Lytechinus pictus: one gene and its partner. The protein of the gene in region 1 interacts with the protein of each later gene in a pairwise test. Links are inferred from orthologs where the notes say so. Each region holds a gene or a part of one and is shown on either strand. Other genes may lie near its edges.

Region 1 (16,254 bases):
ACGGGAAAGAAATTTGTCTTTTCAGTTAATTTAGTAGAGTTCAACGCAGATTATAGGTCAACCAACATACATGTACATTGATAATGTCCCTACATGTTCTTGCAATTTTGAACAACTAATAGTATTCTAGAATCTGGACATTATTTTATTTCTCTCCTTTAGGGTAGGAATGTGATTCTAATCGAACTGCCAAAATGTTATCATAATAGACCATAAATGAGATGAAAAATACTCCAGAGAGGAAATCCATGATGTCTGTACTAGTCTACCTGCACAGGGAAACAAAAACAACACAAATGTTATCATTAATGAATAAAATAATGGTGTATCACTACTACAGATATAACATGTTATTGTTTGTTTGTTTTTTGCTGTTGTACAAACACATTTTTAAAAAAGATTTTTTTTCTTCTTCCAGAAATGATCAGAATAAATGTTAGTGTTTTTTTTTTTTTTTTTACAAAACTCTCTCCTTAAATTTTGCTTGATCTTTTAAAATTCAATGTTAATTAACAAGTATAATGCAGTCTTTCCATGCCACTTGAAGGGGAATCCAACTCAAACAAGTGGAACGCCTCTGGCAGTCTCGCCTGCATTACGCGATTTAATATAGCAGCAGTGCTAACTTTGAAAACTACTATAAAATAATCATTCACAAAAACACCATTCATATAATGACATAATACCACGTTCATTGACCATAGATGACATTTGAACAGTGACTTAAGACTTGCCAACTACACCCATGTCCACATTTCATTCACTCTATCCATAAACTTTCAAAGTTATGATGGCAATTCAACAATTACCCCAAAATGGCCTAAGTTTATTGACCTTAACTGACCGTTGACCTTGGTTTTGTGACCTGAAACTCACAGGGGATGTTCAGTGATACTTGATTACTCTTATATCCCAAGTTTTATGAAATAGATCCATAAACTTCAGAGTTAGGATGGTAATTCAACAAATACCCCCAACACAGCCAAAGTTCATTGACCTTAAATGACCATTGACCATGGTCATGTGACCTGAAACTCGCACAGGATATTCAGTGGTACTTGATTAACCTAATGTCCAAGTTTCATGAACTAGATCCATAAATTTTCAAAGTTATGAAGGTAATTCAACAAATACCCCCAACTTGGCCAAAGTTCATTGACCCTAAATGACCTTTGACCTTGGTCATGTGACCTGTAACTCAAAAAGGATGTTCACTAATACTTGATTAACCTTATGTCCAAGTTTCATGAACTAGATCCATAAATTGTCAAAGTTATGATAGTAATTCAACAAATACCCCCAACTTGACCAAAGTTCATTGACCCTAAATGACCTTTGACCTTGGTCATGTGACCTGAAACTCGAGCAAGATGTTCGCTAATACTTGATTAACTTTATGCCCAAGTTTCATGAACTAGGTCGTCATTTCAAAAACTTAACCTTCGGTTAAGATTTTGAAAATAATTCTCCAAACATGGTCTAAGTTCATTGACCCTAAATGACCTTTGACCTTAGTCATGTGACCTGAAACTCAGGCAGGATGTTCAGTAATACTTGATTAACCTTATGTCTAAGTTTCATGAACTAGGTCCATATACTTTCTAAGTTATGATGTCATTTCAAAAACTTAACCTTAGGTTAAGATTTGATGTTGACGCCGCCGCCGTCGGAAAAGCGGCGCCTATAGTCTCGCTCTGCTATGCAGGCGAGACAATAAATGTTTTTTTTAGGAAATAGAAAAGTCAGACAAGTAAGTTTGAACAATATTGGACAAACAAAACAGTTGTGAATTCTTAAAAGTTATACAAAAATTGGTTATCACTACATATAGAGGCTTCAAATTGGCCACATTAGTGATTTTATAGAGATGTAAAGGGAAGGACTACTCTTTACTCCTAAACATGAAATGTCTTAAATGTAATTTTTTCCCCAAAACTTGTACAATGTACTTCCAATTATTATTTTCTTCCATGAGGACATAATATAATGCTACCTGTGTTATATTTCTCTTACTGCCCCTGGAAAATAGGTACTTGGGTGAAAACCAAAATCTCTGATAACAAAGTATATGTTCAATGGGAAAGTTGTCATTGACACTTGTCATAATTTACTTACTCAGTTGTCAATTAGAAATTTACATCGTCTTAGGATTAGGCTTAGGGATCTCGCTTTTAAATCGGCCATAACTTTCTTATTGCTTGTTCAATTTCTTTCAAACTTAAGAAAAATATAGCAAATGTGAAGGAGAAAGGGGTAGAAAAATATTGCGATCCACAAACACACAAGATTCCTTGAAAAAAAAACCTATAGGAACACAATAAAGAAATCAAATGAATTGAGCGCATGGTTGAATATTAACAATTGGCATTGGTAAAAAGATATACATGTATGTAGTTTGTAATATTGAGAAAAGTGAATGGATTGAGCAAAATAAGAAAAAATATCTAAAGTTAAAAATAACAAATAGGGTTTTGAAAGTATATATGAACAACAACAAAACACATAAATTTATTATTTAACTTTTAAACTTAAAGAGAAATTATGTACCTCTAAATAATCTGTGAAAACAAAACTTCCTGCTTAAGCACTAGCCAATGAAGTTCATGACTACTAAATGAAGAATTACACTGGCAAAGATGAAATCTGCAAAGGCACGCTCTGTTGAAATTCCCTGAAAACTGGATTTATTTGCTGGGTTGACTTGTAATCTCAGACATACTGTATCAGAAAAAAAAATGGATGAATGGAAAATTAATGACTGAATTCCTTTGCAATAACCCTAACCCTAACAGCCTTGCCAAAATTGTCCAGAGCAAGCATCGCATGCGAGAGCTGCACGAAAGGCTTCACAACTCCCTCCACTAGCACCTCCATGCACTGCGCTAGTGTGCACCGTACATGTACCTACATATTACCGCGATCCTGTTCCGTAGACCCTGCTTTTCACACCACCCAGTATGTAGTCAGTTCCTAAGACCCCAATTTCAGGGTTTCACGAGGCACATCCCCATCAAAATATAATTTGAGTGCCCCCCCCCCCCCCCCCGGAATGTCTCAAACTTATCCATGCAAGTGGATGCATACTTCCAGGATTCAGATTTGTATGCATAAGTACTCGATGCAAATAACTCCTCTCATTTAATTGTCCATGTTGGGTGTTCTCAAAGACGGTCATGACGGTGTGTGGCTGTATCGACTCCGACATGTATTGGCTGGCTTTGGTCAAAGATACAAGGGTAAGATCGGACAGTACATAGAGTGCATAGTGAAATACTTGTAGTATCTTTGCTTTGGTCTAACAGTAAATTGAGTTAGATCTAACATTAGCCTCTAGCCTGGCCTTATTGAATTACAACTTCTTTACAACCACACGTATAGTGAGTGATTGTATTACCAACTGGCCTTATACATGTATTTCCAAACACACGCATCGTATGCGTCAGAAAATAATTTCATACGCTCAAAACTTTGCAACATCCTTCCACAGGAAACTTGATCAAAAATATGATAAAAATTAATGGTCAAAATCACATTTTCAAAAGTTTTTAGATAAAAAAAAATATAAAATATGGTAAAAATAGCTCATTAGTGATTTTGTTTTTTCCCAACTTTTCTCATAGAAAACACACGTTCGGTAATATACCTTTTTAAAGTGATCAAAATATTTCACATGCAAAAAATAAAAACAATTTTGGCAAAATTTTTACATATTTTGTAGGTAATTGTGTATTTCTGGTGAAAGTTTGGTGAATTCTATGAGAATGATGACAAGGGCGCCGGATGCGGGGGGCACTTGCCCCCCAAATAAAATTTTTGGGGGGCAAAACGAGATTTTGCCCCCCAAAAAAGTAGAAAAATTATTATTAAAGGACAAAAGTAAACGATGAAGGCACTTTTCTGCCTAAAAATTGTCATTTCCATTGTCAAAAATGAAAAAATTTACACGACGGGGCAATTACATATCATAGTAAGCCTCGCGTCTTTTGACGAACATGTCCCTCTGTGAAACATACCTTTGATAAGCCCCTTTTCCATCTTATTACAGTGTGATAACGTTTAACCTTTTAATTACTACTTTTCAGACTAAAACCGAATGGCAAATTGAAAGTGGTTCACCAATGCATGCTGGCTGTGTCGGCTAACAAACGCGCGGTCGCCCAGAAACGCTCAGACCGGACCCAATATTACTAACGCGCGTGAACGCTAGTTACGAGAGCAACATATGAAATCTATGTCATAGCTGTCAAGCCCAGAAACCATAACATCTCGAGGTCGTCATATTACATTACTCTAGGACCTACTCTCAATCTTCCAATTTCTCGCCTATCAATTTTACTTCTTCCGAAGAAGTAAAATTGATAGGCGAAGAAGTAAAATTGATAGGCGAGAAATTGGAAGATTGAGAGTATAGACAAGAAATTGGAAGATTGAGAGTAGGTCCTAGAGTAATATTTCTTGAAAATGTGTGTAGTTCTGAAAATGACTGTAAAACAGAAAAGGTTAAAGAGTTAAAGAGGCTTGATAAATGAGAAGATTCTAGTTTGAGTCGGCGAATGGAGTGCAGAGCAGGAGTACTCATCTATCAACTACTCAAGCCTTTTCAACTCTTCACCCTTTTCTGGTTTACTGTCTTTTTCAGGACTACGCTCATTTAAACAAAAAATCACTCGACTATCAACTGTCCATTTCCTCCCCTATCAATTTCACTTCTTCTTCTATCCACTTTTTCGAAAACTCCACATGGTGTACCGTCAACCACATCCGCTATTGGAATGTAATTGTTTTCTTCTAAATAATGTTACATAATGTACATTATGAACTGCGGTAGTTTGTTAATCAGTTCATGATTATTTACAATATGTAAAGAAAAAAGAAGATTTTGAAAGAGTCATCCAAAAGTGCTTCCCAGCCATACAAAACATGTAAACGGAAACACATAAATCGAGTAATGTTTTAAACTTTCATGATTTTCAGAAAAGTTTTAAATTGTTAGACAATTCAGCTTGTCATATTTCTTTTTCCTCCAGTTACATAATATGAAACGCAAGGCTCCACATTAACTTTTTTTGGTGGTGGCCCGTTCGGGCCACCAAAACCATCAAATAATTTTTTTTGGTGGCCCGATATTAAAGTTTGGTGGCCCGAAAAATATAAAGAGAAACATTAAAAATGAATAAAACAAACTTCTGAAATATTAATTCTGCAGCCACTACCACTAAGTTCCTTTCACTTTATACATCTTGTATGTAAACCTTGTTTGCTGTTATTTTACTTTGCTAATTGATAATTGTTTCTATCGTTGTAAAAATGAAATGATTGAAAGTGAATAAATGAATTGTATTGTTCGCAGGTTGTGTGGACTTTTTTTTAAATCTCTGTATAGAGATAATGGTAAAGTAAATAAATAGTGCATAGCTAGCAAACTCAGATAGATGTACAAAACAATGGTTTTTCCTTCCTTCCTCTTTGAATCCTAAAACCTAGATTATGCATGCCCCAAATCCAGTTTATTTCTGTTTTCTCTTTTGCAGCATATAGAAGGAGAAAATCACAGAAAAATATGCTGCAAAATTAGAACAATGCATAAAAGGGAGAAACAAACGAAAATAATTTTCAAAAAGTATATAACAAAAAGAAAACAAAAATAAAAGGAATTAGTGAAATAAAACAAAAGAAAGAAAATGAAGAAAGAAAAAAACAAAGAACAGGGAAAAAAGAAAAAAAGAAAAGAAAAAAATTAGAGAGAAAAAAGAAAAGAAAATTAAAGAAAAATTAATAAAACAAAGTTAATATAAAAATGGGGAAAAGGGGAAAATTAAGAAGCCATTACTTACATTTTTAACAGCTGTGGCAACAGTCTATTCTGACTGGAATATAATTAAAAGCCAAGCATATAATTTTCACTTACCTTTTGGGAATGGCACATTTCTATTTTTATATCCTTTAGTTTGTATTATTTTATTTTCAGTAGAAACATATTTTTTAATCAGGCATATTCAATGGGAAGGGGTATAAATGGTTTAACCACTGTCAAAAAAAATGAAAGAAAAAAAAAGAAAACGGCAAAAACTATATATTGGAAAAAAAGTGTGAGAAAAGTCCTTCCCTATATTTGCCAAAATGTTGGGGAAAAAAATCACATTTCATATCAATGAAATGCCTTCCCAAAGTATTTACTTTCTCAAGAGTGGTTTAAGAAGTCATTTATAAACAAGAAAGAAAGAAACTGTCTGTTTGTTTAAGGCTAGAAAATACACAGCTTCGAAAGAAATCAAGTATCAACATACATACAAATGCACACGTGGGACTGTGATGTACTTGCCTATGTGTTTTTATGTGTATTAATTCATGTGGAAATCGGTCTTTTTGAGTCAAAAGAGAGGTCATAATTCCTCTTCTTAATACTTGCAAATAATCAGGGTACACCAGATTTTCGTAATATAGACTGTAGAATTTCATTTCATTGGTGTAAAAGGTGACTTTGACTTAGATTTTCAAAGTTCTGTGGAAGATTTCTCAGCAGCAACATTTTTTATCGCAGCTCCCTGAGTCTGAATAGGCTGAGCTAGATCTAGAGCACAGCTGTATGCAGTGGCTTCATGCAAAGCTCACGCCAGCCGGCCGGCGCGGCTGGCTGGATAATAGCTACTGTATGCTATAGCTGTAGGCCTAATATGCAAACTGTGTGTGTGTGTATTTGTGTGTAGATCAACAAAAAAGGCGCATGACGAACTGGCTTGCAATTTGAGCTGTAGAAAGTTGATAAATGCGTGCAAAATTGGGAGAAAAATTGCGCTACTTTGAAAATTATTGGTTGCCCGATTCGGGCCACCAAAACTTAACATTTTATCAATAATGGTTGCCCGAGGTGAATTTTTGGTGGCCCCGGGCCACCGCTAATGTCGAGCCTTGTGAAACGTATTGCCCATGATAATCAGGGACTATATCTCCAATGCTGATGTCAGAAATGATTTGCATAGAATGGGGATTTAAGTGCTTATCGACGTTTGTCACGTCAGAACAGTATGACATTTTGAATTTGAAAAGACTTTCATTAGAATTTCTTTTGTTTCTGTTGTTACGCTTCTTCTGCTTAATACACTCCTTGTTCTGACAGGAATTACTTGAAACTTATGATGATTGTGCTCTCTCGCGTCGTCCGTGTATGTAAATGTACATAAATAAATGTTTCTGAAAGGATATTGCATGAAAAATGTAATTTCTGGTATTTTGAGTCAATATAAGCGTAATACGTAATTTAATTGATCAGACATGAAAACCACATTCCGAAGCGATCGTTTTGCGCGTAGATTTCATACTCATAGGTTCTCATAAATTATGAGTATAGTCATTCGTAGTGAATTCTATGTTTAATTCTCAAGAAATTTATTTTTGAATGCTCTTAGAAACGCAACTTTTATACTCCATTTTTACACAAAGTCCTTATTTTTTAGTTACCATGGGGGGGGGGGGGGTCCCACACCCTCTCGATTGCTTCGCCTTCGGTATCTCACGCTGTCAAAAGTATTGTGCCCCCTTCGGGATTTTGCCCCCCCAAAACTGAAAGTGTTCCGGCGCGCCTGAATGATGACGTGTTTGATATGATTGAATTCATGAAAAGTGTGCTGTGCGTCATATACGATCCACCGCCACCGGCTCGCTCAAGCAATATTTCAATGATTGATGACGCCAACTAAAGTCAAATTGGGTTTAATTCACAACTTTAATTCAAATACAAAAAGAATGCTTCCATTTTTTTTTAACTGTCCGGACTGACGGACATCCAAACACGCTGAGCGTCCCCATCCCCCATCCAGGCCCCGGCCCCCATCAATCGTTCTCCCCCGGACTTACCGGCGAGCACGAAGGATCCGACACTGGAAATGAATCCCGAGAGGAAAGAGTTGAACGGGAAAGTTCCAACAAGTGCACAGTAGACAAATTGCACAACCCCAGTCAACAGAATGTACGTCAGGTATGCATCAATTATTTTCAACTTAAGTGGTGTTCTCGTCGTGTATTCATCATAAAATTTGTTTATCACGGTGAACAGATTTACAGACATTTTGTATTCTTTTTTGGTTTATGCAGTGAGAAATTGATGGCCGTGCTACGTGTCGTTGTCGTGATCGCGTCAAAAACTGTATGATGGGAAGGGTCAGGAATAGTTTAATTAACAAATATTTCAATATTATTAATGACTATTTTACTTTATTGATAGTCGAAATAAAATTATTTTATCATTTTTATTAATAAATTAAATCTTTAAAAATTATTTTTAATTATCGTTAAATCAATAGTAGTATTTAAAAAATTATAGTATCGAAAGAGCCTACAAATGGCGTCTGCTATTGTCATATTTGACCTCGTGTGCTCATGTAGCGTAAATCTCACCTGCGACTGGTACGGTCTCCGACGTGCCTGCGCTGCCTGCATTTACCCGCACGAGGTCGATCGAGAACGGGCTGGAGACTCCAATCAGCCGACAGTAGTAAACTTAAGCTGATGTCTGTCATTTAACTTCAAGATCAAGATTAATACAGGTAAATTTAAGCCAAGAATTTGAGATTTCTTTTTAAAATAAGGGGCAATTGTTGTGGTAACGTTACGATTTAAAAAAATGTGTGCCAAATAGCCGGGGCAAGTTCAACTAGTTGCTCAGCTGGCGCTGGCCTAGATGCCAAGAAAATTGCTGAGAAATGATTAAAATAAGCACGGAATTTCATCAAATGTCTAGTAAGTATTTTTCGAAGCAATAATATACACTGTCCCACATTAGACAGCTGGCAGCCGTCTGTTTCGAGGAAGTTTTTAAAAAACATTTTAAAATTTATTATAATTATTTAAATTTCTCCTCGTACACGGACGGCTCGCGATCGTGCAGCCGTCATTAGGGGGTTAACAATGCAAAGTCCCCGACGGGGCTCATTTTTTGTGTCTTTATTTCATAAAAATATATAAAAAGAACTGGACCAAAATAAAAATTATTATTCCATTTTGGCCTGAACCAAAACGGGGAAAATACAAACTTAAAAGGACAAACAAAAATGACTTTCTTCGGCTGTCGTGCAACTCCCCTTCGTTGGTTTATCCGAACTTAATACATAAACATATATTGCCATTGAGTCCGGCCCTGAACAGATCCCCGGGGGGGGGGGGGGGGTCACTTCCATTGATGAGTGGATACCATGCGCGACCATGGGGTCTCGAAAAGCACCCTAAACACGTATTTTCCGAATTCTGAAAATGCACCCCTTAATAATAGTAGGTATTGGCGTCTGAAACCCTACCCTTAACAAGTATTAGAAGAAAAAAAACGAAACTCTTGACAAGTATTCCCTGAAATGAACCCCTAAACAAGTACAGTGATGGGTCCGTCAGTCGTCGGTTTTACCTTTACACACCATTTGGTTTAGTACGGCCCCATGCACCTTCTACACCTCGCGCAAATCTGACTCTAAACACGTAGTGCTGGGGCAAAAAGGACATCCTTAATAAAACATTTTAATTTTGTTTTATCATTCCCGCAAATATGACCCTAAACACGTAGCTTTCCTAGCGAAATAGATACCCTTTTTTTCATTATTTTTGTGTTTTTGACACCCTTATCACGTTCCGTACGTAACATGCCCTATCTTGAAAAAGACATCCTTTTTACGTGTTTTTTTGGTCGCGCATGGTATCCACTCGTCAATGTAAGTGGCCCCCCCCCCGGTACAGATCGAGTTAGAACTTCGGTCTCTGTAATTGGTGAGTGGAGCCAACGGAGTTCAGCAGAACAACCAATATAACAGAGATCGAAGCTTTTGGTCTAGTCCCACATGTGCTTTTCTGTGTTGGTGATGATCAGAATTATTGATTTTGAGCTAAGATTTCATGATTTTTCAAAGATAAGTTTACATTAATGTACCAGATGCAGATCGTTGATTTTTTTTTTTAATAATAATTTTAATGTTTTTATACACAGTTCTGGAAAAAAAATTGAGGGGCTCAAGGCTGGCTGTGAGACCAACAACTCTGTTATTTGTATATATCTAGTCCTTTATCTACAGTAGACATGTAATAGTTGCATGATCCCTAAAGCGTGTGTATGTTCAGTCACAAGAGATGAATGATATTTGTCTTTCTTTCATTCATCTCATACATAAAGGTGCGTATTTCCCTTCAAAGTATCACTGGGGTAGTTCCTTAAAAATGGAATTGGCTGTGACATCTAGCAAATCAACTCTGGAAGAAGACCAACCAGCCAGCTCCAAGCTTAGTCTCTTGAAGCAGGGAGCGGAAGCTAGGATTTACAAGAGTACCTTCATGGGTCGTAGCTCCATTGTGAAGCAGAGATTCAAGAAAGCCTACAGACACCCAAAGCTGGATGCTAAACTATCACACAAACGAACTGGTCAGGAGGTCAGGACTATTGTCAAATGTAGGAAGGCTGGTGAGTGGGAGAATGTTCTTATCAGGCCAATTAGCTTATTCGGAACAATTGCATGATTGTGTGAAATATAGCATATAACTTTGTGCCACCCAACCTACAGTCACAATTTCTAATTTTCAAACCTCATAGAATAAATCTTTATCAAATATCAAGTTTACAAAAAATTTTATCTATTTGAAAGATTTTCATTTCATCATCAGATATAGAGAAGGGATAATTTGATTTGGAACAATGGCATGATTATGTAAAATAGCATACATGTAGGCCTAATCTTGCAATCCAACCTCCAGTCACAATTTCTCATTTTCAGCCATCATTGTTTAAATCTCTACATTTATTAACTCTCATTTTCAGCCATCATTGTTTAAATCTCTACATTTATTAACTAAATGAAGATTTAGATGATGTACATGACCATCAACTAGCTCTGTGGTCTTCCCTTTGGTATTTTTATTATGCAGTTGGATCTGCTCCAGTATTTATTGCAGGTGGAGAGAAGAAAGTTAAGCTTGAACAAGAATTGCACACATATGATTTTTGCACATACACAAATATGATTAAGGCAGATCAATAAGAGATTAGTCAGAAATAAGACATGTTTAAGATCTATTTTGGAGACAGGACAAACCAGGGATTGAATCTTTGAACCAACTTTAAATATTGTCAAACATAATTTTAAGTGTACTGCAAAAAGTTGCGTCAAAAAAGTTATCTATCGTAAATATGAATTTTATTTCATTATGTTACACCCCAGATAAGACAGGGAAGGGATATATTTAGAGTACAGACATAGCCTTGTGTTTTTCATTGATATCTAGTTTTGTGCCTACTTCTCTTTCAAATTCACAGGAATTACTACACCTGTGGTATACTTTTTCGACAATGAGACTCATTCTATTCACATGGAATACGTAGAGGACTCCCTCACAGTCCGTGAGTACATCCAGCAGATTCAGAGCTCCGGAGCATCTATCGACGATGAAAGACTGGTATCACTAGCGTCTAAGATTGGAGCAACCCTAGCATCTATGCATAGTGTGGATGTCATCCATGGTGATCTAACAACCTCAAATATGCTTCTACGTCAGCCGTATGAGGAATCGCATCTGATCATGATCGATTTTGGACTCAGCCAGATATCACATCTGTGGGAGGACAAAGGGGTGGATCTGTACGTGTTGGAGAGGGCTTTTCTAAGCTCACACCCAAACACTGAGGAGCTGTTTAAGAGAGTCCTTGATGTCTATACAGAGAACTACAAGAAGTCTGGAGATGTGATGAAGAAGTTGGAGGAAGTAAGGCAACGCGGCAGGAAGAGGGTGATGGTCGGGTAGCAGCTATAATCAACCGCAGTTTATCATGTTGTACATATATATTTCATTTTGTTAACATGAGAGAAGTCTCGAGAACGTCCGATCATAATTGTTTGTGACTCGTCAACCCCAAACCAACAATAAGTAGCCCAAATTTAATTTTGAGATTTTTATTTGAACTTGAAAAAAAAATCCTAAGTTTTAAAGTGAGATAGATATTCCTTTTCAAAGTATACCAACAATAATATGCAGAAGTACTTGATTGAATGTAGAAGAAATTCTGTGACACTGACTTTAAAGATTGAGAAAACAAGATTTGAAGTTTGGGGTTCACTCTATCATGAGATGTGCACACTGCACAATCTTTGTGAAACATGTGAGCAATCCAGAGAAAAAGTTGTGTCAAAGAATCTTGTGTGTCTCGTCTTCTATTTATCTTTACAATTTTGACAGTGAAGAAGCATATTTCTTCAGATAAGCTAATATTCACATTTTTACCTTATGAAGAGATTTTGGCTATTTACAGAGAACCTTTCCAGGTGACTTATTGTTGATTTGGGGGTGGTGGATTGCTAATAGTGGTGACACAAAGTTTTCCCCCACAATAATCACTAATGGCTCCTTTATCAGAAAACAAGGGATAAGGATGGGGATAGAACTTTTATGAAATAATGATTAGATGTAGGTTAATAAGTTGAGAGTAAGTTTGTTGAATGAATAAACATACTTTTAATGAATAAATATGCTTCTGATTGAATGACTATCACAGCCAAGGGTAAACCACAATAACTAAACCTTTCGAAATAAATTGAAATCTAAAATGGCAATGAATAGATTTTCCGTACACTGCCTAAGAGCACCCAGCTGGCAAACCACTTGAGTGGCTAAATGTGTCACATAGAAACCAAGCCCAAATTCATAACGGTATTGGTGGAACCTTTTTCACCAAATCTTACAAGATTTTAAGAAACTAGTGACTGCTCAGCTTGAACAGCTATGTATGACTGGAAGGATTGCAAATATTGAATTTAAAGGGATGGTCAGGGCTGAAAATATTTATATCTAAATGAATAGAATAAAATTCACAGAGCAAAATGCTGAAAATTTCACCAAAATTGGATAACAAATAACGAAGTTATTTAATTTTAAAGTTTATCAATATTTTATGAAAACACTTATATGCACATCATCATGAATATTCATTAGGTGGGCTGATGTCACATCTCCACTTTCCTTTTTCTTATGTTATTACATGAAATCATAAATGTTTCATTTTTTCATACATGTGTAAATGATGTCTCCATTATGATCAAATAAGTTGCGGCAATAAATAATTAATGCACTTAATCAGTTTTCAATCCAACTGTTTTTGTTATGTAATAAAATACAAAAGAACAAGTGGGGATATGACATCATCAGCCCACCTAATGAATATTCATAAAGACATGCCTGAACTGTTTCACCGGAATAATGCAAATCTTTAAAATTCAATAACTTTGTTATTTGTTATCTGATTTCGATCAAATTTTCAGGCTTTTGCTCTTTGAATTTTACTCTATTTATTGAGATAGATATATCTCCAGCCTGGACCATCCCTTTAAATGAATTAGTGATTTTTAATTCAAATAGAGTTACTGCCTGCCTTTATTTCCATTGGAGCAACTACCTTCATTTCCATTGAACTACAACCAAACACTTCACAGATGGAATCATCATGGTATAGGCGATTCGTTAGTGAACCAATGCCATCAATCATGTATTTAAAAAAAAAAAAGTGATTTGAGCAAAATTTGACATCTTTATGTTTAAGAGCAGTCATTCTCAATTACATTTTGGAGGTGCTCCACATTTCTTGTTGAGAATCTGTACTGCTCCACTAGTGCTAATGAGCGAAATATTGCTGAGGGCCAGCTAGGGCCCCTGGTGGGCTCGAGGGGGCGGAGCCCCTTGAAGCTTCGGAATATGAGGCTTTTTAAATGGCCAAGAGGGGATCTAATTAATATCAATACAAGAAACACAAATGCAAACAAACTACACGATTTAGTATTTTTCAAATGATAAGTGACTTTTCACAACATACCATTGATACCGCTAGTTCACGAGGGCATGCACATATCACAGCAGGCAATACCTTGCAACATTTCCCTTTCACAACCTTGGATTTTAAATAATCGGCTTTGGAAACAAAGTTTCTGATTTTCAATATGACTAAAACTCCTTCTGTGAAAATTTTTTCGTGATGCCGAATTAATATGCAAATTAAGAACTTTATTTTATATCTGTATATAATTTATGTCACCACATTTTCCGATATGATGTGTTTTGCCAGGAGTCCAAGTTGTTGATTAAAAGCATGGCTTGTCAAGTATAAGAATGTTAAATTATGTATTTATTGTCATCATTTCAAATGCTGCATCTGAGCAATTCCATCAATTTTCAATGCATAATCTGGAAATGTGAAATTACTAGCCGTAGAAAATAGTTGAAAACGTGATAGATATCCAACCGACGAACGGGGCTATCAGATCACTTGTGATCATAGAGATAATTTGTATAGGCCTACCTATATCATGATGCACATACCGACTATTGACAGTCGCACATGAGTCCATAAACCAAGCATATAAAAACCATAACGTTAGAATAAATAAAAATAAAATCAATGAAGTTTAAAGTATAACTTACTTGTTTTTTCCCTTTGTGTAAAATTATCATCAATCATCAATTTATATACATATTTTCCCAATTTTTTCATACCGGCTCCCACGCGCCACTCCGCAAGGCTCGTTGCGCCACAAGTGGTGCGCGCGCCGCTGTTTGAGAATCCCTGTTTTAGAGGTTTTTTTACATTTGTGGTGAAAGTTTGATGAATTGTAAGAAAATATTGCAATTGATATGATGGAAACTTTAAAAAGTATTTGGTAGTATGTTTCACTACAACAGCTTTTAAAGTAATTATAACTTGAAACCCTTGTGCAATATAAGAGTGCATTTTTTCTATGTGTAGTTATCAAAGACAAGACTTTCTAATGAAGATGTCTAATTGCAGAAATATCTAGGTTGAATTTGCAAATCAGAAATTAATTGATTTCAGTAGTACTCACACAATATCACTGATTCCATGCATTCAAATTGCCTGTATGTTGTACTTTATCTTAAACCCTTTGGTGATTTCTTTCTGTGTACATCATAAAGTGTGATGTAAGTTTAAGGTGAATGTGAAATTTGGAAATAATCAAAACATGTTGAATGCATTTTGGGCCATTTATTCTCCACTAGAAATGTTTTTAATGTGGATTGGCTAAAGGCTGGTATACCACTGATCATATATACATACTGGACACCTCAAATGATCACATGAATAATACAATTCGGGTATTTTAACATAGATTTACATTATATTTATGATCATGATTCATTAATTTACAGACAATGAAATACAAGATGCATACATGTATACAATTACATATTGGCTCTCGAACTTAAAATATAATATGACATGACAAAATTCTTTATATTTCGTAGTCACAAAGTCTATAATATATTTGGTCCATGTAAAATACAATTTTTTAAAGTAAATGCATTAAATATTTAATTCAATTCTATATTATTACAATGTTCTTTGAATCAAAAGTTCTGAGAACTATACAAAAAATAGCAGCATTGCATGTCATTGAAAATATATTATTTCAGGTATAATTCAGGCATAACCAGTTTTTGTCGGCTTTGTTGGTAATGCGTCCATCTCACAACCGGAAGGACAGGAAAGACGTTAAAAATGGTGAAAAACGCTTGCTGCTGCTACCCCGTTTGGCGTTCAACAGTTTAAGGGATAGGGCAACATTGATCAGGCACTGCTCAGTGGCTGCTGGGCCCCAAGATCAATTTATTCAGATTTCTATTTTGAACAATTTGGAGTTTCTGCTTCTTTTTTTTTATATGGGTTGTCTTAGCTTCAATGGTGTGACAAAAGTGTCCTCATGATAAAATATAACCTCCACTCTAACAAGAAAACTCAAATTAATTGGTTACTTTTCTTTATTCACGTATCATTTAAGTTATCTTTGTATGTAATTCAATTTACAACACAATATTCAACATAAAATGCCTCCCTGGCACAGTCAACATAAAACCAAGTTAGAGTTGTCTCATTACATCATATAATCTATCTCAGAGGAAGGAGTTTCACGAATCTGTTTGTACATTACACATGACTTTCACACGACTGGTGACTAATCTTAAGTGGGTACCAAATCAGATTCACAATCATTTGAATTCCCATCAGCTCAGCTATTTGAAACACAATCTCTGTAGATAAAAACTCTTGTTCTTCAAATCAGATGGGCACCCGCTTTCATGGGGAGTGGATTGTTATTTGCTGACCCCAGACTCTTGTGAAAAGCATTGGAAATACCTGTAACAGAGACATCTTTGGGGGTAAGCAAACTTGGTACCAACAAGAAATTCTACAGCCAAGCTTGCTCAGCTTCGTGCAACTATCCGACC
Region 2 (16,386 bases), on another chromosome or scaffold:
ACATTTCAAGCACTTTTGTAATTATAAATAGGATGCATCAGTTATTGTATTTTTAACCATTAATGCGAGTGCAAATTGCGAGCATAAATTTTTTATACAGTCATGAAAAGGGGATTTTAAGTAGTTTGTTGTATAGTCAATATTGAGACATACATAACTCACAAATCAAAATGCGAGCGTGCAGTGCTAGCTGATACGTCTTGACAATCAGACCTGAGAAGGGATATTTTGAAAACTTTATGGAATACACGAAAATGATAGGTACGTGATACATCAAAATTTTCGAGCACGCAGCGCGAGCAGAAAATGTTAATATTCACATCATAAAACTGACATTTTTACAGAGCACTTTTTAAAAATCAATTTGTAAATCACACAAAATATTGAAAGTTTGATTTCCAAGATGAAATATGTTTTGTATATTGACTTCCAAACTTGATATTTAAACTCCATATTGAACAAATATGAAATCACCTAACAGGCAATGCGAGCGCGAGCGAAAATTTTATATAGTGACATGAAAGATTCTTTATATTTTCCAAGTCTACCCCTCATCTTATTTTATTCACTCGTCTTCCTCCTTTTCTTTTTCTCCTCTCTTTTCCCTCTTTTTTTCCCCTTTTTTTTGCTCCGCCAATAGGGGGGGGGGGGCTGGGCCCCCTGGATCCGCCTATGCTAATAGACAAATTATTTCACACCTGTCCCCCCCAGAAAAAAAAGGTCATCACAAACCATAAAAAATATCAAAATTTATGCATTTTATATTACATAACCAAGTACAACATACATTGTATTGGGCAGCTGCTTGTATATGAATTCACAAATGCTAAACTTAAAATTCTAATAACTTTCTTAATCTAAACCTATCAAACTTAAGAAGCGCACTATACAAATTCCACTCAGTCAAAATGAACAGATTTTGACAAAGGCTAGCTTCAATAATCTTTACTAAGCACATGTCGATAATTAAGAAATTAGTTTAATCACAAAGAGGCTGTAGCCCCTTCAAACTAATTCACACCTGTCCTCCCCCCCCCCCCCAGAAAAAAAGGTCATCACAAACCATTAAAAATATCAAAATTTATGCATTTTATATTACATAACATACATTGTATGGGGCAGCTGCTTGTATATGAATTCACAAATGCCAAACTTAAAATTCTAATAACTTTCTTAATCTAAACTTATCAAACTTAACAAGCGCACTATACAAATTACATTCAGTCAAAATGAACAGAATTTTGACAAAGGCTAGCTTCAATAATCTTTACTAAGCACATGTCGATAATTAAGAAATTGGTTTAATCACAAAGAGGCTGTAGCCCCTTCAAATTAATAGGTTCCGGAATCCAAAGTCACAAAATGGTAAAAGAAAGATAATGAGATGGGATTAAACAAATTTACCAGTTTATTAAAGTTCACAGTATGACCATCGGCATGTTTAATTAATTGCCTCAGTAACTGAGAAGTTACAGTAGGTTAAAATTAGCATTAAACGCACCTATATGTATTTAGGTCAAAGAAGCATAATGCATGAATGGACTCAATATCAATCAATAATTACCATTTGGTTTAATCCCATCTCATTTTCATTGGTCTTACTTTTGCCATTTTGTGACTTAGGATTCCGGAACCTATTGAATTGAGGGGCTACAGCCTCTTTGTTATTCAACCAATCTTTTAATTATTGACATGTGCTGAGTTAAGATTATTGAAGCTAGCCTGTGTCAAAATTAGTTCATTTTTGACTGAGTGGAATTTGTATTGTGCGATTGTGAAGTTTGATAAGTTTCTTTTGGAACCCAGTTATAATTTATTCTCCTCAAACCACCTATATTTTTTTCCTACTATTTTTAGTTAACTTTTCTTCAGGGTGAACTTCCCCTTTTACAAGTGGAAAAACCAGAAAAAAGAGATGGAGATAAAATGCAAATACATGTGCAAGTTTGAAAGCAAAATAGATAAATTGAAAGAGGGATACCGTAGATTAATTCAATAATACAACAGTGAACATATGCATTCATACATACAAGCACATGAAGCTCCCTTTCACTCTCACACAAATTTTGTCAAATTCAACCATTCAGATAACAAACACATATTCATGCTAATATTGGTTTATTCTATATTTTTCTGGGTTTATTTACATGTAGACTTGCTTAATACAGAATTTAGCTTATTCTCTTCCAATTGACAATTACTTGACTTGCTATCTTTTTATCTGATGCATAACTACTTCAGCATGACATAGACAATAAATATCATCATTGCCATGATAAATGTGTATCACCCTGCATTTAATTCATCCCATCATTCATTTACAATATCACCCAACTCTTCAAGGGAATAGTGTATTTTTACACAAAGTAAGGGTTTCATTAAGTTTTGTTGTCATCATACATAAAAATGACTTTATGCACAACTGGTGACCCTTTCTTATGCTGCATGTAAATACTGCACCCTTTAACAGCTGACTTAACACCTAAATATGTCCCAGTCATGCATAAACTCATATATAACTTTGTAAACATATTTAAAAAAAAACACACCCCCTACATGTAGCAATCTTTCACTTTATCAGTCTAAATGCACATGAGATTTGTGAATAAATTCATGATTTTTATATATAGTTTTGGCGAGTCAAAGAATGCTACCTAGAACTGCAGTATGATGACCAATCAGCAATAGGATCCATCATTTTCACATTTTTTTTTTAATGAAAAAGAACAGAGTTACTCAGATTTCCTTGCTTGGCTATTGAGGTTGTCTGTGTACAAACCTATGGAATCACAACGATTCTATTACTACATGACATCAAGTTCTTGAGGCCGTAAAAAGCACACAAAAAAGCCCATTTTAGAAGCTTGATAATTGGATCTATTTTAAAGCAAAATACTCAGCTGGTTACAAGCGGTGTATATGCATGAAAGCTTACATTGCTTGCTTAGTAGTTTAAGCTTTCAATTGGTGTATGATTTTTCAATTTCACATTTGGGTCCGTTCTGGGTCTTTCAGTGCCTTCAACTGTAAAATGCACCCATTGTATGCAGAGACTCTGTGTGGCAATTAGACTTCACTTCTTATAGCATAATCCATGTTGTGTAATGATCAGTAGGCTTTTTTAAATTGCACTGATATCTATCGGACACAACACTCCAAGCGCTCAATAATTTTTACTCTATAAATCCTTTTTTTTTTTTGGGGGGGTATAGTTTTTACATCCATGTAGCTGCTCTTGACCAACAAATTGGACATGAATTTATAATAACTATTGGAGTACCATTGCCTAATATGAGGAATGTGACCCCCAATGGGGGATAGTTGTCTGCTGCAAAGAACATTTTGAAAAATATTTACCTGGTTGATTCGCCAATGTTTTAGACCTTTGGGGATTAGAACATATTTCATTGTACCAAACTTGCCGCCTAACATTTTGTAACATAATAGGCTACATTTTTTTTCTCTGAATCATATACACTTAAATGTATCAAGCCTTTTGCTATTAGGAGCAACATACAGTACATGTATATCAGAGACAGCTTCCTGATACCTCCTCAACAAGACGTTTCTAAGTCTTCAATAAATATCATGGTTTGAAAGACATGAAACTTTGATACATCAAATGTCTTCAATCTATTATGCTTACAACACTCTTGATGATTCAAGAACTCTTCTATAATACTAGTAGTACACTGGTTCAGTTGATGATGCAGTGGTATTGTAAGCTGTTGCCCGAGATTAAAAGCGAAGTCCGCAGACTTGGCACCCTCAAGTGCTTAACATTCACCCTTGTTTAATTAAAAACATCTCACTGTCTGAAGAATCATATTAAGAGAATCCATCAAGTCATCCACAGGCCACAGCACTTTGCATTCCATAATAATGGTGTCCTTCAAATCGGCTTTCCTTGTAAGAGAGTCTATTTGTCCACAAGAAAATCACCTGACTGGTCAGGAAACATCACTTGTTGCCATTTTGCAGATTACAGCATCTTCTAGGGATCCTACGGAAAGTTCTGGTTTACTGATGGAGTATTTCTGTAAATATTGGGATAAAATAGAATGTTTGAATTGTTTGAATTATTTTCCATCCAACATCATGAAGTTTGATTTTCTCACCCTGCTTTTAATAAGCAAAATACAATTAATAATTAATAATACTATGTTTAAGTAAAATATATTCTTTTTCTCTGACAGACAGTACATACATGTATAGTGTTGGTAGGGATGTAACTGTTCAGCACCTTTTGAAGCTATTGTCTTCATGAATTACACTGTTCAACTGCAAAACAAATTGGGAGACAGGCAATTTGGGATAATAATCTGTGCCCCCTCTCCGATTCCCCCAAATATTAAATCCTTGATCTCCCTGTGATTATTTTCAGAATTAAGCCCCGAGTTCAATTTTTCATGTGTGTTTTTTTTTTTTTTGGGGGGGGCAAACTGGAGGATTCTGGGCAATTACACAGATTTGTCTTCTTCAGGTCAATGAATATCACAAAGGAATGTTTTTATGTGCAAATACCTTCTTGATCATGATTTCATCTGTATGCATGGAGAGTTGAGATAGAGGAACACAAACTCCTTCAATCTTTGCAGCAATTGACTTCAGGTTGGTTTGATCAGGATCATTTAAAACAACCACTGCCACTGATGTGTCAGTTGATCCCATTGCAAAAACCTTGAAGGATTCACTGATCTGTAAACAATTAAGAGATCAATAAATATACTTGAATGATATGACAGTAGATCTTATTTGCAAATACTTAAGCGATATGTATAAGAATATTCAAGAATATTCTGCTTCTTACATAGCAGTAAATACTGTCCAAGTTTTAAATAATGTAGGCACTAACTTACATGATTATGTACTATCACCTTTTGCTATTGATGATTCATTAGGAGCAAAACCTAGCACTGATATGTCCCCATTGCAAAATTCTTGAAAGATAGATTCCTGAATGACATTTTAATTCTATATCCTTTGTAAGAAATATGCCTATCAACAAAGCAAAGTATGCAAACAAATTAATCAACTACGTTATTTTGTATTAATGTGTATACCATATTACTTTCAAACAAATTTAGCATTATTGGTGTAGTTTACTAACCCATTAGAAAAGCCTATTATATATATACGCCAATATCCAGTTAGAAGCCCCATAAAAGGAAGAAAATAAAAAAAATAAAAACATAACTAAATATGTTCTCTTCTACAATATTTTTTCATAATAATAAATAATTGATAAATAATGAATAGATGGAATAAATAACTTAGTAAATAAATTAATTACTTAAATAAATATATAATTATAAGCAATACTAGTAAACAATTTTAAATAAGTGAAATAGAGCAAATTAAAGTTGAAATCATTCTTTGAAAGAAAAAAAACCCAAAAGCTTACATTTGTGGATGGAGACAGGCTATAGATGATTTCAGAATTAACAGTCCTGGTTTTTGCATGGCCAGTGGCATGTGCATGGAGTGCCTTATTCACTGCTACCATTATCTGAAATGGGCTGACCAGCTGCATCAAGGGAGAAAAATACACTTTATGAATGTACATATATTTCATATCATTATTTAGATGCAGGGTTTTAGAGGCACAGATATTTTTTGACGTCTTGCGATGTTGTTTCAAAGAGACAAAATATTTTAAAACTGATTTTTAACGTGTATGCCTATGAAAACCATTCAATATTTTCCATATTGGATGAATGAATATTTTGCCCCGCCTACGAGATTATCATTGGTTAATAACCGATTGTGCGCATAAAGCTATTGTTACGTCACAATGATATTGCATTGCGCATTAGTTGCCAGGTGTGGCAAAGGAGCAAGATTGCGTCAATTTATTTAATTCAAATGCACTTGCACTATACGCTAGCGCATCTTTACACATATTTCTTTTAAGAAAATGACAATACTCTTTACAGTCGCCATGCTCATGATTTACAGGATTGACATCAAATGCTGAGTAACAACTTTTTTTTTTGCTTCATTAATTTATGCTTAGCTTTGTTGGGGTATCTAAATAATTATAATATTGGATGACCAATTTCCGTGGGATGCATAGAAATATTGTTACTTGCTGAAGAACAATATTTCTACACATCCCACTCAAGGCCATCCTCATCACTGATCTAAATAATCCCTCCCTAGGGAGAGATGGGTTGTGGATGGAGATAGGTGTATACACTGCCATCACACTTGACAAAGATTGGTTCTAATCACTGGTACAGGTTTTAAATAGAGATCGGCTTTGGACTGAGTGGAATTTTCGTCTTGAACTCCAATGTGTGATGTTCACCTAGGAAATGCAATCCTCTTTGACTTACATGTATACTTCATTATAGAATTCTAATCATACATATACTTCATACTATTTGTATATATTTAAAAAATTATCATGCCCAACTACATGTATGAATCATCTTGCTTTCAGAGACCATTGACCCAAGTGTTAAAAGTATTTTGTTTACATGCTATTATATCTTATTTCAAATTTTCTAATCATGTAATAAAATTCAATACAATCATATTTTACTAAAATTTGGAAATATTTGCAGATAAGTTCACCATTTTACTTTTTCATATTACTTTCTTATGCATAGCTTTACAGACATTTTAATCCAAATTAAACAAGTCACTCTCAATTTCCACCCCGACACTCTGGCCAGATTGATTCAGCTATTTACAATGGTGATCTACAATGTAGGGGGGGTGTAGGGGATTTTAGCCTACCCTCTTGGGCTGCCTAAAAAGGGGAGGGGATCAAACTCTAACACCCCTTTCCCTGCTGACGAGGGTTGTACAAACAGAACAGAGGGGATCTACGTACATGAGGAGGTTATTAGGATGTTACAGCTCATTGTCAATGGGTCAAACAATTTGGTCAAACCCTCATCTTAGCAAAAGTCGAGGGGAGGGGAGGGGAGGGGAGGGGAGGGGAGGGGAGGGGAGGGGAGGGGAGGGGAGGGGAGGGGAGGGGAGGGGAGGGGAGGGGAGGGGAGGGGAGGGGAGGGGAGGGGAGGGGAGGGGAGGGGAGGGGAGGGGAGGGGAGGGGAGGGGAGGGGAGGGGAGGGGAGGGGAGGGGAGGGGAGGGGAGGGGAGGGGAGGGGAGAGGAGAGGAGAGGAGAGGAGAGGAGAGGAGAGGAGAGGAGAGGAGAGGAGAGGAGAGGAGAGGAGAGGAGAGGAGAGGAGAGGAGAGGAGATAAATTATATAAAATGTACCGATACGCATGAACATCATAAAAAAAATGAATTATGAAATTGCATGAAATGGTGACCAGTTTTATTTCATGTATACACATCCTACATAGATTTTGTGATGTAACATAAACTTGAGAATCACTTAATGACTTATCTAACTTAGAATCTAACTTAGATGACATATGTGTTACAACATGTTCCTAATCTTAAGCCTACGATGTCGATGTCATGTCACAAACATTTTTAAAAATTTGTATTAGTCTGTTATGATGAACCTTCACCAATTTTCTGTTTTTAGTTCTACTCTACTACCGGTACAAACTCATTGACATTGTCATCATGCATTCATGGTCATGATTTTCAATGTCAAGATGAACTTCCTTTTTCAAGATTGATGTTAACAACAACAACATTAACACAGAAATACGGGGAACTCCCGCCCGGCTTCAGATAGCCATATCTAGCCTATAGTCTATACCAAATGCTTAAATATTATTAAGCTATTTAGTATAGCCGAGCGGTAGCTTAGCTAGCTTGCCGGCGCGGCCTGGCCGCCGTTGTCGATCGCATTTGCATCGGGAACGAGCGGGCAGCACCACCAGCACCTACCGGTACACACGTGCACAAGCTGCATGCGTGCTTTAAAGAAAAATGGCTTCTCACCTGACAAAACTGATCCGCTACGCCGGTGTGTTCACTGGTATAAATTCTAAGATTTTGACTACCAGGCAGCTGTTGGTACCTGTAGCTCGAACATTTAGCTCTCCTGCAGATGATCTCAAAGTCAGCTATTTGGATGATGGAGGTGTGTTTTACTATTAAGTGAGGCTAGTGGCGTGTCTGCTGCTGCCGACTGTATTGTAACCATGCTACCGGCTGGCCGACCTTTCCACCGTACCCGGCCGGCCGGCTGGCCTGGGCCCCGAATCATAGCCGTCGCTCACGCGCCGGGTTCGGACTTTGTGTGTGACTAGCCGGCTTGTGAATGATGGAGTCGATTGTGACTGGAGTGTGGGTGGGGCATGGCCATGGTCATATATGGGTGAATGCAATGCAATGCAGTGCAGTGGCATACAGGGCGGGGGGGGGGGGGGTATTCATAACTTTCCTCGTAAGTCCTCCCAAATAATGGAGCGCTAATCATGCTAATTGACCAAATTCGTATTCTGAATCTAAAATTACAGTCTACTACTACTAGTAGTAGTACTACTACTGTCTGAGATGAGGGGGAGCGATCACATCTGACTGTAGTATACTGTATGTACCGGTTCATGTTAACCTATTAGTATTAGAAGGGATACCTAGGCCTAGGGAAGTTTCTGAATGTAGGCATGTTATGCCTCTGTATTCAGTTCTAGGTTTTTCCTCCTCAAGATGGCTGGCTCACTTCCGGGAACAAGGCTTTCGTAGTCATATTTTATTGGCTCATTTTTCCAGGGCAGGGCAGCTTCAAAACTGTGCACACTTGGGGCAGTGACAACTTCATTATTTAGGCTATTCCATGTCTTACGTATTCTAACATAAAAAGAATTCCTATATTTCTGGGTCTTTGTCCTTGGTATGAACAATTGTTTACTGTGACCTCTGGTATGGACACTAACTTCTTCTTCCGTTGAGTACAGTCCTCTTTACAGAGCTATAGTAGTACTAACGTTAGTAGTAGGACACTCGCACGTATTGCGAGGTTAGTATTAGTATACTAACCTCGCACCACGAACCGCGTTTGGCAGTGGATTTCTAACTAGTGGGTCGCGTGTGCTGGGATCTCACTTCTAGGGTCCACAACCAGTAGAGGCGCACGGCCAATATGGGAGACTCTCTCCAATAGGGGAGACAATCTCCCACATTGGAGACTTGCTTTGCAAAAGGACAAAAGAAACAACACCAACAAAAGCATGATTTTTTCCACCCAAAATTTTGTCTCACTGAGGTCAGAAGCCCATTTGTTTTGTGTGTGATTGACAACAAAAATCCTTATCAAAACAAAAGTAGACGGTGAATTTTTAAAGGAGACGGTGAAAAGGGGTAATTTTTCATGAGGAATCTGCTTATCACATTTTTATTTGCCGCCAAGGTAATCCTTTTGCAGCAAATGTAAACAAAGGAAATTGGTCTCCAAAACTGGAGACTGTCTCTGAAATTGGATACCCAAATTCTTTACAAAAGTCTCTGATATTGGAGATATCTCCCACATTGGAGACAGTCTCCAATATTGGCCGTGCGCCTCTACTGACAACACACGACTTCTATGGCTTGATTTTTCTGTGCGCGGCGGCATGTAATGAACCCTTGGGTGGTAGTAGGACAGTGTTTCCAGACCACAGATCTAACAACAGTTAAAACAAATTTCCCGAAACTAAATCCCAAATTTCCTGAAATTCATAGACATTTCCTGGAATTTTCAAGTTAGATTTTTAACAAAAATTATTTTAAAAATCTGGCAATAATACAGCACGCCTAAAGTTGGTCCAAGTGACCAAAATTAATCAAAGAATCTAACTTTAATTAGGGTCTACGTGCGGGGGGGGGCACTTCCATTGACAAGTGGATATCAGGCACGACCATGGGGTTTCGAAAAGTACTCTAAAGGGCCGTCTGCACCATCCCGAGTTTTCAAATTAGCGCGCTATTTCTGATCCGGCAAATTATCCCGATCTGAAAAATCTCGAGATTGTTTGCAGTGGAGACGCAATTATCGCGCTAGTTCGTAGGATTAATCTCGAGATTGCAATCCCAAGTCAACTCGGGTTTATTTGCAAAATAGCGCGCTATTTTACGAATTATCCCGCTAATTCGAAGGTGCAGACGCACTCGAGATTGGACTCGGGGTAATTTATTCATGACGTCAGTCCATAATGCAATTCGCGTTCCACTTCCGCCTTGGTCAAAACAAAAACACGTGCGAAAGTCTATTTTATACACGCGAATAGACATTATCGCGAATAGCGTTCATCAATTCCCCAATCAGCAACGATGGTGTCCCAACAGTGAATGGATTTTGGGAGAGACCAGACCTATGGATATGGGGGAGGCGCTCATTTATCGACGATGTTCATAGTCGATAACAACACTGACAGCAGTGTCGTCTTAATGGCCTTTGCAAAATGTGAGCAAATAGCATTCTTTCCTCCTCCTTTTCTCTCTCCCTCTCTCTCTCTGTCGTTGCCTCCTTCTCCGCCATCATATTAAACGAAGAATACATCACTTCTTCACTCGCTGAGCGCGGCTGACGGAGCTGAGAGGATTGTTGCATAACACTTGTCGAATTCGGCGAAAGTGCTAGAGAAAGGAGTAGCCTACATGTATTTGATTGCATATCGCGGGAAGTTATTCAAAAGCGCGGGCCGTTGAAACTCCAAGATCCGAAAGTGCGCATGCTCGGAATATTGGGCTTGTTGCCTCGCTCGAGCAGGAATCGCTCTTCTTGCGATGGTGGAGACGGGGTTTCTTGAATCTCGAGATTAATCGCGAAGAGGGCCGATCGGGCTAAAATCTCGAGATTGAGCAAACTCGGGATGGTGCAGCACCGCCTTAAATGAGTAATTAATTTGAAAATGCACTTAATTATTAGGCTTGTATTAGAAAAAAAAGTTACCCTTGATCCCTAAAGTGTACACCTCAACAAGTAGATTTAGGTCTACAGCGATATTTAAATTGTTATGTCACAGACGTCAGCATTTTCCTTTATTTACATAAGTTATATTGGGTTTGGTACCGCTCCACCTCGCTCAAATCGGACACGACAAAGTGTTGGGGCGAAAAGTAGGCCGGCCTACATATATAAATTCCCTCCCAAATTTGACCGTAAACATGTAGCTTTCCTAGCGAAGTATATACCCTTTTTTCAGTATTTTAGTGTTTTTGACACCCTTATTACGTACGTAACGTGCCCAGTCTTGAAAAAGAGATCCTTTTGATGCACTTCTTTGGTCGTGCCTGGTATATATATCCACTCTACAATGGAAGTGGCCTCCACCCCCCCCCCCCCCCCCCGGGTCTACATCTCGAATACTAACTTGTTAGATCTATCTAGATTAAATCTATCTATCGCCATGTTAAATTCGTAAGAACTAGAAGTATTCTATCAGTTTTCATTTCTAGAAACACTTTTTTTTTAAAATAAAAATGACTTATCGCGAAACTTAGTATTACCTCATTAAAAATCATTGTATATAACTTATGATCGTATACTTTGAGGTCCATATTAACAATAATCCATTTTATTACAGAGTCAGAGATCATCTTGTTGCTTGTATAGATCTATCTAGAATATATATTCCTGAAAAAATATGAATAAAAATACTTGAGCACCTTATAATATTCACAAGATCCGACTTCCAGGTTATATTTTCTCTCATCGCTAATTGTTGTCACAATTTTTTTTACTTGAATTATAACATAATACCTATGTGCTGCGCCAAAGTCGAAAATATGGGGCTTTGGAACTAAATCTTGGTCTAAAAACGGGGGTCTCCTGAACGGCTCTTGGATCAACGATTGCTAAAAATGCAATTCTCTGGAACTGACCACATAACATAAAGAAGGGGGGGTCTCCAGAATTCTTTTGATCGTAGGTGTAATTGATAACGTCTATGTAAAAAAATGTGCGAGCGTCTTGCTAGATTCATGTCGGGCTAGAACAAGCTAGCTGCGGGCGTGCGGGGAGCTTCGGGAGCCCGCCGCTATGGCTCTGCACCGATCGAGCTTGCCGCTCCGACAGGCTCAATAGATTTCATGAAGGGCGTGCATTGAAATGAGAAATCACAAATTTGAGGGTCTCCGGAGCGGGAAAAAATAGGAATATCTGTGGCTTTCTGAATTGATGCTCTAGACCAGAAATTTAGGCTGAAAATGGGGGTTTCAATCGTAGCACATAGATATACATTTATACTAAGTACGCCCCCCCCCCTCGGATATTTGCCAAACCCTTATACTAAGAAAGTATTAAATTTTTTTGGGAAAATTGAAGAATATTTTTTCTACTTTCCATTTGGCCTGTATGACCAATAATTTTTTTTTTCTAATTTCAAACCTCTAGGTAGGCTATACCCATTTTGTCTTCTTGGTCTTTAAAGGACAAGTCCACCCAAACAAAAAGTTGATTTGAATAAAAAGAGAAAAATCCAATTAGCATAACACTGAAAATTTCATCAAAATCGGATGTAAAATAAGAAAGTTATGACATTTTAAAGTTTTGCTTAATTTCACAAAACAGTTATATGCACATCCTGGTGGGTATGCAAATGAGACTGATGACGTCATCCACTCACTATTTCTTTTATATTTTATCATATGAAATACGGAATATTCTATTTTTCTCCTCATTGTCAAGTGAAACAAAGATTAATTCCTCCCTGAACATGTGGAATGAGCATTGTTTTATACTATATGATTCAGTCAAGCTGGTCCTTATTGTCAAATCTATAAAAAATGAAATATATAATTCAAACAATAAAAAACAAAAGAAATAGTGAGTGAGGGACATCATCGACTGTCTCATTTGAGTTGTGCATATCACTGGTTTGTGAAAAATAAGCAAAACTTTAAAATGTCATAACTTTCTTATTTTACATCCGATTTCGATGAAATTTTCAGTGTTTTGCTCGTTTGATTTTTCTCTATTTATTCAAATCAGCATTTTTCTTGGGTGGACTTGACCTTTAAACCAGGGTTGTTTGATTTAAATCATGTCGATTTAAATCATGATTTAAATCGCGATTTAAATCACTTGATTTTTTTTCAAAAAAATCACTGATTTAAATTAACTTTTATGAAAAAAATTAGTTTTCTCTATTTTCTCTTCTTCTTAACAGATACTTTCAATGTAATCATTTTCATTTCTGTTCCACATGCTTTAGAGATACTTTAAAAGAATGATACACCCTCATGGAGTCTGATTTGACACCACTGTTTTATTTTCAAATTGTAAAACAAGCAAAACTGATGAAAACAACAAGTTTCTAACGAAGTAATGATAAATAACTCTCTGTATGTACACCAAACTGTTAAATCTTCAATGAAATAATATATAAAATCTACAAAGGTGCTCAAAGTCCACAACTTGGATACTTTTACAAAACAGCTGAACTACTTGTATGTACCTCCTTCTTGTTACTATTAATACCCATGTTTCTTTCAATTACTTAAGTTGAAGGCATATGTGTACATTTGATAAGAATTACATGTATATTTGCATGCTTGTGTATTTTCTTATCAATACCCATACATTCAATTACACAATTTCAAAGTACACATGTATACTTAATAAGTAAGAATTTAAAAATGGGAAAGTTGCTGGGCAAGTGTTACTGTATGCAGCAATACAACTGCTGTGCTTGCTTGTTCACTAATAGTTTGAAAAAAAACAGCACATCAATGATGTGGTGGACAGTGGTGCTTATCCTGCATCTTGCAACAAAATTTATTGAAGTTTTACTTGGAACTGAGGTTACACTGTAATGAAAATATAAAATGTGTATTTTGTTACAAGCATATCAGGAAGTGCCTATTGCAAATCTGGTTAAATATTACATTCAAATTAGATGTTAACGTACAGTTGTGACTTGCGAATGCTTTGTATACCAGATGTAGCTCTAGAGTTGCAAACCCTATTTCTGTGGAAACAAGTCTTAATATGATAAAGCTTTACAATGGCTTAAAGGCATTGGTTAACATTGTGTTCAGTTTTAAAAATCTGAGTTGCATGTTCTCACGTGTATGCTAACATGTCTATGGGAATATAGAAATGAAACAGAGCAAAAAATGCTTTAAAGTGTTATCATTTAGAGAAGCACTCCAAAAAAGTTTTAAAAAAATTAAAAAAAATTACCTGTATATAAGTGGATTATTGTGTCAAATAGTACAATACACAATGTTCAAAAGACTACTTGACCACTATTATTGGTGTAAAACAGTTTAAATATAGTTTAAAACTTGTTAAGTGTGACCATTGTTTTTCGTTGGAAAAAAAAAAAAAAATCTGATTTAAATCATAAAAATCCGATTTAAATAAAAAAAAATCTGATTTTTTTTTTTTTTTTTTTAATAAAAAAAATCAACAACCCTGCTTTAAACTATAAACCAGACTTCATAATCATATGAAAAAGTAGACAAAGTGGAAATTTGACCAACTAGACATGGGACTAAATGAAGAGAATATGGCTAAGTGGATCAAGCTTGACCAAATGAGTTTTACCCAAGTGGTGTAAGACCATCTGAGAACTAGACCCACTACTTGTAGACTAGTGAATGTAGATCAAGTCTTGTAATCATATTGGAAGCTTTTCTTTTTCAAGCATAAATGTATCCAGGTTACTTGACAGAGCTAAAGGGACAGTTTAACAGTTTATAGTCATTGAAACCCTACCCCCACCCCACTCTCCTCTCCCAAAGTCATGATGTACTATGGATGTTTAGATTTGAGAATGGAATTTCTACTTCTTCTTTTTTTCAAGGGATTGTTGTATTTGGAATGAACAGACCTGCAAACAAAAATGCGATCAGCAGAAATCTTCTTAATCTAGTAAGTCCTGAATTTCTTTATATATGAATTCTTAGTCCATTTCTTGGCAGATATTGTTCTACTCAATGTAAACTTGTTAAAATCTCTTGTTATATAATAGAAAGGTTCAGTCGATCTAATAGTAGATGTAGATGAGAAATTGATCCCTTTATCTTCCATAATCGTTACGGTCTCCACTCCTGAAAACCTCACAATTTGTTTTACACACACAGGATGTACTGTCGCCTTGTTTCCTAGAATTTGTAACAAACAAGCAAAATAGTAACTAGTGTTTTTTGTCATTGCCATAAAGTTTAACTAGCAGAGGATGGTTAGATGATCATGGTAATTAAATCCTTAAGATGTCAACCATGGTGATTTTTGTTTTGCCTGCATAGCAGAGTGAGACTGTATGTGCCGCTTTTCCAACGGTGACGGCGGCGGCGTCTTCAACATTGAAATCTTAACTAAGGTTAAGTTTTTGAAATGTCATCATAACTTAGAAAGTATATGGACCTAGTTGATGAAACTTGGACATTTGAGTAATCAAGTATTACTGAACATCCTGCCTGAGTTTCATGTCACATGACCAAGGTCAAAGGTCATTTAGGGTCAATGAACTAATAAGACCATGTTGGGGGAATCAATATCGAAATCTTAACCAAGGTTAAGTTTTTGAAATGTTGTCATAACTTCGAAAGTATATGGATCTAGTTCATAAAACTTATACATAAGGGAAATAGTGTATCACCGAAGATCCTGCCTGAGTTTCAGGTTACATGAATAAGGTTAAAGGTCACTTAGGGTCAACGAAGTTTAGCCTTGTTCAGATTATTTGAGGAATCGCCATCATCATGGGCGGAAATCCCAGGGGGGACAGGGGGGACGTGTCCCCCCTACTCAAAATAGTAGGGGGGACACAATATCAAATGTCCCCCCTACTATTTTTGGTCTTTTATGATGGTAAGAAATACATCATTCTAAATCTAAATAAAACATGTATTTTGGGACAAGTTGGGACGAGATGACCTTACTTTTGGGATGATAAACTTTTTTTTGCTTGTTAAATTTTCCCGCCCCTTGTCCCCGTAGGCGGACCAGGGGGCCGAGGGGCCCGCCCCCCCTCCCCTCTTGGCGGAGCAAAAAAAGTAAAAAGGGAAAGAAAGAAGGAATAAAGGAAGGAAAGGAGAGGAGAAAAAGAAGAGAAGGACGACGAGTAAATAAAATAAGATGAGGGGAAGACTTGGAAAATAAAAAGAATCTTTCGTGCCACTATATAAAATTTTCGCTCGCGCTTCGCGCTCGCATTGCCTGTTAGGTGATTTACATATCTTGTTCAATATGGAGCTCGAATGTCAAGTTTGGAAGTCAATATACAAAACATATTTCACCTCGGAAATCGAACTTTCATTATTTTGTGTGATTTACAAATTGATTTTTAAAAAGTGCTCTGTAAAAATGTCAGTTTTATGGTCTGAATATTAACATTTGCTGCTTGCGCTGTGCGCTCGCAAATTTTCATTTATCAGGTACCTATTATTTTCGTGTATTTCATAAAGTTTTCAAAATATCCCTTTTCAGGTCTGATTGTTAAGACGTATCAGCTAGCGCGCTGCACGCTCGCATTTTGATTGGCGAGTTATATATGTTTCAATATTGATTATACAACAAAC

Evidence for each region.
Region 2: the proteins of EKC/KEOPS complex subunit Tp53rkb-like (region 1) and EKC/KEOPS complex subunit TPRKB-like interact in binary tests that used the Homo sapiens proteins (3 or more experiments, as listed by UniProt). The link is inferred for Lytechinus pictus from reciprocal best matches to the Homo sapiens genes TP53RK and TPRKB.

Annotation. Positions count from the first base shown.
Region 1 is NC_087246.1:58,199,093-58,215,346, forward strand, and holds EKC/KEOPS complex subunit Tp53rkb-like, read left to right. Parts: upstream 1-8,340; 5' UTR 8,341-8,543; intron 8,544-10,150; 5' UTR 10,151-10,194; coding exon 10,195-10,435; intron 10,436-11,284; coding exon 11,285-11,769; 3' UTR 11,770-15,768; downstream 15,769-16,254.
Region 2 is NC_087247.1:45,960,090-45,976,475, reverse strand, and holds EKC/KEOPS complex subunit TPRKB-like, read right to left. Parts: upstream 7,787-16,386; 5' UTR 7,531-7,786; exon of another isoform or gene 7,513-7,530; intron 5,682-7,512; 5' UTR 5,576-5,681; coding exon 5,405-5,575; intron 4,699-5,404; coding exon 4,525-4,698; intron 4,038-4,524; coding exon 3,951-4,037; 3' UTR 2,114-3,950; downstream 1-2,113. Other genes in the region: methylglutaconyl-CoA hydratase, mitochondrial-like, read left to right, coding at 7,864-8,017, 14,667-14,734. UniProt on the Homo sapiens protein: Component of the EKC/KEOPS complex that is required for the formation of a threonylcarbamoyl group on adenosine at position 37 (t(6)A37) in tRNAs that read codons beginning with adenine.